2 linked regions of the Xenopus tropicalis genome follow. The protein of the gene in region 1 interacts with the protein of each later gene in a biochemical or structural test. Links are inferred from orthologs where the notes say so. Each region holds a gene or a part of one and is shown in the gene's direction. Other genes may lie near its edges.

What was found.
Region 2: of the proteins of mcm7 (region 1) and dbf4, one has a biochemical effect on the other in vitro, tested with the Homo sapiens proteins (2 studies listed by BioGRID). The link is inferred for Xenopus tropicalis from reciprocal best matches to the Homo sapiens genes MCM7 and DBF4.

What each region holds. Positions count from the first base shown.
Region 1 is NC_030679.2:144,216,899-144,221,983, forward strand, and holds part of mcm7 (DNA replication licensing factor mcm7), read left to right. Parts: intron 1-269; coding exon 270-419; intron 420-785; coding exon 786-900; intron 901-1,270; coding exon 1,271-1,402; intron 1,403-1,829; coding exon 1,830-1,913; intron 1,914-2,974; coding exon 2,975-3,186; intron 3,187-3,279; coding exon 3,280-3,461; intron 3,462-3,551; coding exon 3,552-3,635; intron 3,636-5,085. UniProt on the Homo sapiens protein: Acts as a component of the MCM2-7 complex (MCM complex) which is the replicative helicase essential for 'once per cell cycle' DNA replication initiation and elongation in eukaryotic cells.
Region 2 is NC_030682.2:29,280,621-29,285,705, reverse strand, and holds part of dbf4 (protein DBF4 homolog A), read left to right. Parts: intron 1-597; 5' UTR 598-661; intron 662-1,156; 5' UTR 1,157-1,182; coding exon 1,183-1,332; intron 1,333-2,073; coding exon 2,074-2,268; intron 2,269-3,104; coding exon 3,105-3,155; intron 3,156-3,591; coding exon 3,592-3,661; intron 3,662-4,976; coding exon 4,977-5,053; intron 5,054-5,085. UniProt on the Homo sapiens protein: Regulatory subunit for CDC7 which activates its kinase activity thereby playing a central role in DNA replication and cell proliferation. Required for progression of S phase.

The sequences.
Region 1 (5,085 bases):
ATCAGCAGAACAATGGGAAGGGAGCAAGATAGCAGCTCCCAGTAGGTATCAGAATAGCACTCAATAGTAAGAAATCCAAGTCCGGCTTGGGACTCCTCCAGTTACATGGGAGTAGGAGAAACAATAGGTTAGCTGAAAGCAGTTCTAATGTGTAGCGCTGGCTGAAAGCTCAGACTCAGGCACACTTTACTGCTGCGCTGCAAGTTGGAGTGATGAGAGTAAATGTATACAATGCAGATATTAAGTCTTCCAACCCTCTCTCTCAATAGAGTGATCAAGTTCCAGTTGGGAACATCCCTCGCTGTATGTCTGTGTATGTACGTGGGGAGAACACGCGGCTCGCTCAGCCCGGGGACCATGTCAGTATCACTGGAGTCTTCCTGCCGATGCTAAGAACTGGCTTCCGTCAGGTGGTACAGGTAATAAACAATTTACAGTTATTACAATTCATCATTCTAGCTCAGCAGCTTCCTTATATTGCTGTGAGGTGGGATTACCCTTTAGCGGGTTTTATGTACAGGTTTCTGTGTGAGTAAATGTAAACAAGAACAGCAATTCCTATATAATATTCCTATTTTATGATCAATTTTGTACTGTGGGGAGTGCCCGGCCGCGGCTACCTAAGCATTTGTTTGAAGGACAAGTCAACCCAGAATATATTTTTTTGCCTTATAAAAAAAACTTAATTCTAAGCAATATACATTCCTTACAAACTTGTAATGGTTTTTGAGTTATAACTGTATAATTTTGGGGTTCACTGGTGATTTGTGTGGTTTTTCCTACAGGGGCTCCTTTCAGAGACGTACCTCGAATCTCACCGTTTGGTGAAAATGAACAAGACCGAGGATGATGAACTCGGAACAGAAGAGCTGAGTGAAGAGGAGCTGCGACAGATTACTGGTAAGCAGATGAGGAGTCCCTGTATGGAAGAACTGACTTCTCTAGGTTATAGACTATAGACCAGGGGTGGGCAATACGTCATTTGCGGTCCACCAGTCGATCCCCCCCCCCCCCCCAGATTTCTGTTGGACCTCGATCAAGCTGGGGATGCGGAAGTGCTGTGTGAATGCGTCGGTCTGGTCCATCGCGACCGGACAGAGTCCTGCTATAGACTGTCTCTGTATGACCCACTTTTGACTTAATAAAAATCAACTGGGGTCCAGACTGACAGCTACTGTATTAGTTGCTGCTTTGTTTGCTCTATGCTGCTTATAGGAAGATCTTGTATTTAGTCCTTATTCCTAATTGACTTTTTTTATTGTAACACCAGAGGAAGATTTCTATGAGAAGCTGGCAGCCTCCATTGCGCCTGAGATTTATGGGCACGAGGATGTGAAGAAGGCTCTACTTCTGCTCTTAGTGGGAGGAGTTGACAATTCTCCCCGTGGCATGAAGATAAGAGGTATGCATCATTGACTAAAGGTCCCCATACACCATAAGATCTGCTCGTTTGGCCATGTCGCCAAGCGAGCAGATCTTCTCCCGATATCCCCCATCTACGGGTGGGTGATATCGGGAGAATCCAGGGTAATTCGGTTGTTTGGCCCTGGGGCCAAATGATCGAATTATAACGTCGGGAATAGGAAAAGCTGATCCAACTAGATTTTCGAATCTGCCCGATTTCAGGCCAGATATCGGTCGGGCAGGCCCGTCGGTAGTGCCCATACACGGGCCGTTTAGCTGCCGAATCTGTCTAAGGGACCCATATCTGCAGCTGCTGTCGGCCCCTGTATGGGGACCTTAAGCCTTCCCCTAGTTTGAGTTCATATAAAATATAGAAGCCGTTCATTTCAGGTAAACTGACCTGTGTATGTTTATTTCCCCCCTAGGGAACATTAACATCTGCCTGATGGGTGACCCAGGAGTTGCAAAATCACAGCTGCTTTCTTATATTGATCGTCTAGCACCTCGGAGTAAGTGTTCAGATCTGTCGTCGGAATCCGTTTGGAGTAACGGAGGACTAGTGTAGAAGTTATGTACCTTGATTCAGGCTTAGCTGCTATTTGTAAACAGCATTTCTTTTCTCTTAGTCTGTTCTGTAACAAAGACATAGTTACATAGGGTTGAAAAAAGACCAGAGTCCATCAAGTTCAACCCTTCCAAGTAAACCCAGCACACACAACCTATACTTGCCTATCTATCCACTCACATACAGACCCATACTGACCTATCTATATACTCACATACAGACCCACACTGACCTATCTATCCACTCACATACAGACCCACACTGACCTATCTATCCACTCACATACAGACCCACACTGACCTATCCACTCCCATACAGACCCACACTGACCTATCCACTCCCATACAGACCCACACTGACCTATCCACTCCCATACAGACCCACACTGACCTATCTATCCACTCACATACAGACCCACACTGACCTATCTATCCACTCACATACAGACCCACACTGACCTATCTATCCACTCACATACAGACCCACACTGACCTATCCACTCACTTACAGACCCACACTGACCTATCCACTCACATACAGACCCACACTGACCTATCTATATACTCACATACAGACCCACACTGACCTATCTATATACTCACATACAGACCCACACTGACCTATCCACTCACATACAGACCCATACTGACCTATCCACTCACATACAGACCCACACTGACCTATCTATCCACTCACATGCATAAACTATATATACAAACATTAATACTAAGACTATTGACCAACTTGTCTAGTGGAAAGCTGAAGACTTTCTATAATTACACAGATGTCTCAACTGCCACAAAAGGGTAAGCTACTGTTTATATGAGACCAGCAGAGCTTAAAGGGGACCTGTCACCCTAAGTAATAATAATTCAAAATCCTTTTTCTATCATCTGAGTGATATCTGGGAAGTGCTAAAGAGAGAGTTAATTGTAATTAAGCTGAGCTGTCGGTCATATATTGCCTGCCTCGCCTCTACAAATCGCCCTGCTTTGACTTCATCAGGTCAGTACACAACAGGTCGCGGCTCCTCCGGGGTGGGTCTCACCGCAGCGGTAATGAAAGACCCAGTGACTGGCGAGATGACACTGGAAGGCGGAGCTTTGGTACTGGCGGATCAGGGGGTTTGCTGCATTGATGAGTTTGATAAGATGATGGACACGGACAGAACAGCCATTCATGAAGTCATGGAGCAGCAGACTATCTCCATAGCCAAGGTCGGTGGATAGTTAAAACTGACTGCCATTTTGTCTTGACTAAAGTTCCCACACATTATAGCATTAAAATACATATCTTTAATCCCCCCCCAGGCTGGCATAATGACCACTCTAAATGCTCGCTGCTCTATTCTTGCTGCTGCTAACCCTGCCTACGGGAGGTACAACCCAAAGAAGACAGTGGAGCAGAATATCCAGCTCCCTGCTGCCTTACTGTCCCGATTCGACCTACTCTGGCTGATCCAAGACAAGCCGGACAGGGACAACGATCTCAGGTGAGGGCTCGTAAAAGTAACATGAGAACATTTAACTTTTCCTTTAAAGGGTATCTGTTGGATTAACTCCTTTATTCTTTATCCCCTTAGACTGGCGCAGCACATTACATACGTCCATCAGCACAGCAAGCAGCCGCCATCACAGTTTCAGCCTCTGGATATGAAACTTATGCGGTTAGTACGACTTGTATGTACAGTAACGGTAATATAAACTATAGTAGGGTTTCTGTAGCAAACACCCCAGCTGTACCAGTGCAGGAATGGCTGCCCCCGGGGCTACACAGCGGGGTATTTATATAAACTATAGTAGGGTTTCTGTAGCAAACACCCCAGCTGTACCAGTGCAGGAATGGCTGCCCCCGGGGCTACACAGCGGGGTATTTATATAAACTATAGTAGGGTTTCTGTAGCAAACACCCCAGCTGTACCAGTGCAGGAATGGCTGCCCCCGGGGCTACACAGCGGGGTATTTATATAAACTATAGTAGGGTTTCTGTAGCAAACACCCCAGCTGTACCAGTGCAGGAATGGCTGCCCCCGGGGCTACACAGCGGGGTATTTATATAAACTATAGTAGGGTTTCTGTAGCAAACACCCCAGCTGTACCAGTGCAGGAATGGCTGCCCCCGGGGCTACACAGCGGGGTATTTATATAAACTATAGTAGGGTTTCTGTAGCAAACACCCCAGCTGTACCAGTGCAGGAATGGCTGCCCCCGGGGCTACACAGCGGGGTATTTATATAAACTATAGTAGGGTTTCTGTAGCAAACACCCCAGCTGTACCGGTGCAGGAATGGCTGCCCCCGGGGCTACACAGCGGGGTATTTATATAAACTATATAGTGCTGGGCGGTATACCGGTAAAAACCGATCACCGGTGTTTTTTTTTTAAACCGATATGTATTTTCTACATACCCCCATACCGGTGTGCTTGAATACTTCCGGGTGCGCACGTGACGTCAGCGCGCACACTCTACAAAAGCGCCGTCGCATTCAGAGTCGGATACCAATGTGAGCTGTCGGGGGTGGGGGTGCCTGGCAAGTAATTATATTTTATGTGAAGGGGATGGGGGGGTGTTATTTATGTGAAGGGGATGGGTTGTGTTTGGGGGGGTTGTGATGGGGTGGGGTGGGGGGTTATATTTATGTGAAGGGGATGGGGGGCTGTTTGGGGTGGGGTGGGGGTGTGCGGATGGGGGGTGGGGGGGGTGTGTGCGGATGGGGGGTGTTTGGGGTGGGTTGGGGGGAGTGTGCGGATGGGGGGGTGTTTGGGGTGGGGTTGGGGGGTGTGTGCGGGTGGGGGGGTGCGTGCGGATGGGGGGGTGTTTGGGGTGGGGGGGTGCGTGCGGATGGGGGGGCGTTTGGGGTGGGGTGGGGACGTGCGGGGGGGTGGGGGGGCTGCGTGCGGATGGGGGGTGTTTGGGGTGGTGGGGGGGGTGTTTGGGGTGGTGGGGGGGTGCGGGTGGCGGGTGTTTGGGGTGGTCACCTAATCATGCATGGGGAAAAAAAAATACCGTCAAATACCGTGATACCGATATAATTTTGAAAAATACCGTGATATAAATTTTTGGTCATACCGCCCAGCACTAAAACTATAGTAGGGTTTCTGTAGCAAACACCCCAG
Region 2 (5,085 bases), on another chromosome or scaffold:
ACACACTATGGGGCACATTTACTAATCCACGAACGTCCGAAAAGCGTCCGAATGCATTTTTTCCGTAATGATCGGTATTTTGCAATTTTTTCGTAAATTGTCGTGACTTTTTCGTAGCGTTACGACTTGCGTGAATTGTCACGACTTTTTCGTAGCTGTCGCGCCGAGTACGAAAGTTTCGGATTCATTCAAGCTTCAGTATCGTGACTTTCCTTGGGCCAGGTTGGAGCTGCAGAGTGCCATTGAGTCCTATGGGAGGCTTCCAAAATCATGCAAAGTCTGAAAGGTTTGCCTGCCGTTTACGAGCGCTCAATACGAAAAAGTCGCGACAATATACGAGCAAATCGTAACGGCTACGAAAAAAATCGCAAAATGTTCGTTTCCAATCTGAATTTTTCCCATTCGGATTCGTGGATTAGTAAATGTGCCCCTATATGTATATTTTTACAATCTGTTATCCTTTGTAATTTTTCCCATTTGCTCATCCACTGTACTTGGCCCGTTATCAGTTTTGCATGGTTTTGTATTGAATGCATACCATTGGGATGACCAATCTTTGCATTTACAAGTTAGTTAACTGATCTTACATTTTCTTAGGTGGTGCTTTCTCCGGAGGACAAAGCAAATGAAGCTAGCAGGGGACCCAAGTTGCAAAGGAACAGTGAGTTGAAATTTTCACCTTTTGTAAATATACATCTTTCCTTTTTAATTTGTGTATTTTGTTAAAGGAACAGTAACACCAAAAAATGAAAGCGTATAAAAGTAATTTAGAATATAATGTACTGCTGCCCTGCCCTGGTACAACTGGTATGTTTGCCTCAGAAATTTATATAAACAAAGCTGCCGTGTAGCCACAGAGGCAGCCATTCAAAAGGGAAAAGGCACATAGCAGATAATAGATAAAACACTGTATTCTACAGAGATTATCTGTTATCGGCTATGTAACCTGTGCCTTTTCCCTGTACTGATGCAGGGCATCAGTACATTATATTTCAATTACTTTAAAAAGCTTTTATTTTTTGGTGTTACTGTTCCTTTAAAGTTCTAAGTTAGGTTATTGGCTCAAGGAAAAGCTTGGCATTTTTTCGATAGAGAAGAAAACAGTTGTCGGAGAATGTTGTAATAATACAGATTGCCTTTTTCTCTTGTTTTGAAGGAGCACCACATGGGCGAGGTGTGAAAATGAAATCCACTGTAGCAACAGTGAAGAATCCAACTGGAAAAGTTCAAGCAGACATATGCAAACCTTTTTCTGGGAAAGTGTTCTATCTTGACCTAACATCCAAATTAATATCTGAAAAACTGGAAAAAGACATAAAAGAACTTGGAGGTGTAAGTCAACTATAAAAAACTTAATGCAACTAGTGTATCTTTTACTTCATTGTAAAAGATTGTATTGTATTACATTTTTATTTATGTATGTCGGTAGGTAGTGATGGCACTCAAAGGGATTTGCACCCAATGTCATCAGGTGAAGAAAAATGAGGTTTATTCAGTCCAACGTTTCTGTTCCTGATTGGAACTTTCATCAGGGACACCAGCACCATGTGTGTTACAAACCTAAGTTGGTGCCAATGTTGTTGCTAGGCAACCAACGTGCAGTAAAAGTTATACAAACATTGCGTTATGCTGATTTTGTGCTGCTTACACACACACCAATTGTGTGCTTTCTATCACAGCTGGATATATTACCATGTTTACTTTCCTTCCCCTTAAAAGCTGTTAAAGTTATAGTTTCTGATTTACTACTACTTGAAAGCAATAGATTTTGTAAAAGTGAACTACTCCTTTAAGGATGTTTTCAGATAAATTTCTGAGTGGCTCATCTGTAGAAGTACTAAATATCTGTTACCCCTGTGCTGCAAGAGAGAATGTTTTGCTAGAAATTAGCATTTGTACTCATTACTTTTTACATTACAAATTCGTAAATGAACCTTCAATTGCCTGCTAATTATAGAAGCCGTTGGCATTAAGCTGTGATATACTGCCTTGTCTGGGAGGTGTGAACAGGTGAAAGGAACTGTTATCTGTTTTAAAATGTCTTAAAATTGTTACCCCTCCATATTTTCTCAGACTGTTGAAGGATTTCTCAGCAAAGAAATCAGCTATCTTATAACAAGTAAAAAGGAAGCAAAATGTGTGAAGACTTTGAAGTATGTTTGTTCTGTACCGAGTCCCGAACCTGCTCAAAACACCGGAGAGAGTTCAACCAGCCCAGGCAATAGGCGATTACCTCAAGAAGGAAATTCAAGTAAAAAAAATGAAAAGGTATCAGGCTAAATTAACTTCTGACTTTAAATTGTGCTCACATAGAAACATTACATTAGTCCAAAGTCCTGTGCAAAATCCTTGATTGTCTATTAACATTGAAAAGTATGTAAATCATGCAAGTTTCTTTGTGTAGAATTGAGTAAGTGTATTCTTATAATGGGGTAGAACATTCTGTAGCTTTCAGTTAGCCCAGTGCTGCCCTGTGTGTACAGTCACTGACAGGAAGGGGGTCAGCCTGCCGCTGTGCACAAGGGGGCAGATTTCACGTAGAAAATGCACATCACAGAACACCGAGCATTTGAAGAAACACATATTTTATCATCTCAAAGATTTGGTCAGATATTTAATTTGCAAATTATTATGCAAATAATACATATCTGACCAAAATTAAATAGACCAAAATATTGCATAATTTGCTAAATATTTGCTTGTTTCATCTGTCCAGAGCTGTAATGTCACATGACCTTTTTTGGGGATGATTTATTAGTTCCCCTATCTTAAAGGAACAGTATCATATTTTTTATTTTTTTTTCGGTTAAAGCTCGGGTGCCCAAACCTGTCAGCAAGTTCTGTTTAAACCATTTAATTACACATCAATGTGTGTGTTTAAATGGAAGTCCATCTATTGCTCCACTGACTTGAGAATTCTTGGTGTCTCAAGAATTCTTGAGTTGCTGTGCTGTAAAAGTCTTTGGAAACTTTGTGCAATGAGAGAAAACATTTGTCAAACTACACATAAGTGCTGTGTTTAGTCAGGAAAAAGCAAAGTTTCTCAGATATTGATTAATATAACATTTATCTGAACTTTTTTTTTTTTTTTATTGTGTAAACAGAGCCTTGTAAGTCGGGGGAAATCTTTAGTGAAAAAGGCGATCAAAGAGCAGGTGAGACTCTTACATTTGCTAATGACTATTTATATTTTCTTGCTTTCCTCAGTCTATTATTTGTTACTAGTAAAATAGCTCATTTACAGATTGTTCAGAGGGGCAGTACGCCCAATGTTATATCTAATTCCATCTTGGCTATGTGTGCAAAAATATCTTTTGTGTGCACATTTTAAAAAATGGTGTGTTCAGGTCAGAATGGATACAGAATGTTGTGTTTTCATACAAATTTCTTTGTGTGCACCACAATTTGCTGTGTGTGCACGAACACACAGCTTAAAGGGAACATTTAGTACACCCCCTGTTTTAAAATTAGCGGGTGATTTGTTCCACGGCATTCTCCTTTTTAATTTAGAAATATTTATGGTGGTTTCTTTTTTTCTTCTATGGTAAACTGCTTTGATATAGTCTGTTCTTCTGGTATCTATTTTCACAGGAAATTCTACCAAAAAATAGTATTTTATCTAATGCCCTCAACTGGGGAGTTAAAATACTTCATGTTGAAGGTAAGACTTTTTTTTTCTTCTTCCCTATTTCTCTTTCTTTTGGATTGATTGCAAACAATGTCTATGAATTGGTAGCTTCATCTTTTTTATTATAAAAACATAGAAAAAATGACCTATAATAAACCTGTGCATAGGCAACATTGTGTGGATTCAAGCTGTATAAAAACCATAGCAGTCTGCGGCATGCTTAGAAATAGCTATGCAGCATGTTGATTTTATTTATCTTTTTACTGGTTTTAATAGCATTATCCAGCAACCCCAATTTATATAAGGTAACATTGCTTTTTATTGGGAAATTTCCTATGCAGTGTTATACGTAAGTATCTGCATATTTGGTTCTTGATTCATTAGAAATATTTTAAAACAACTCTGTTTAAAGTGACACCTTCCAGGTGTGTAACTGCAGTGTGTATGTATATTATATATAATTAGATAAAAATGCCAGCACTCGTGTTACTGGTAAAGAGACTTGCCTGGTTGCAATCCTCATAGAATTTCGATAGAAAGTAGAACATATAGAAGTCTCACAGGATTTATGAAAATACAAAAGACATTTATTGAACAAGAGAAACTGACGTTTCAGCTGTAGAACCAGCCTTTCTCAAAGTTACAAAACCAAGTGCAAATGATCTATAAATACTGTGTGTGGCGGGGAAAAATTAAAAATGTGATGTATAGCAAACATAAACGTTCACATTTAGCACAAAAAACTTGAATCTTTAAAAAAAAAAAAATATCAAACTCGAGCGTTGATAAATCTTCCTTCTAAATAAAGTCAATAGTTAATAACCTTTGCCATAAAGGAATAAGTTCCCAAGCAAATGGCGAGAGATGGATCTGTATATGTAACAAATAATTATATGTTATATATGTTTATTTTTTTTTTTAATTCATAATTTGTGGCAAGACTATATCAAGTGCAAGTCGATTTGTATTTGGGGGCAGGGCAGAATCCTCATAGGATAAGTGTAAAGAGTAGGGATGCACTGTAACCAGGATTTGGTTCAGTATTCGGCCTTTTTTTTGCAGGGTTCGATTTCGGCTGAATCGAATCTGAATCCTAATTAGCATAAATTAGCATATGCTAATTTGCATTTCGAAGGGCTACATTTTTGGGGGGGGGATTTTTTCAGTGTGAGCTGATGTTTAACCCTTCCCGATCCTAATTAGCATTCGGTTTGGTATTCGGCCGTTTGGTGAAAAGTGGGTTTGGTGCATCCCTAGTAAAGAGTCCCTCAGTCTGAAATCTAGATGTCTAGAAGCAGCCCTGTATTGTTCAGTCTTATTTAACAGTATCACCCAACCTACATTTCAGAAGCAAAGCGTTACATTGAAAAGAAGAAAAGTTCATTGCAGCAAGTCAAAAAATCCCAACCTGTAGTCAAGTCTGAAGTAAGTGTTTCAATCTACAATGTGTGTCTCTG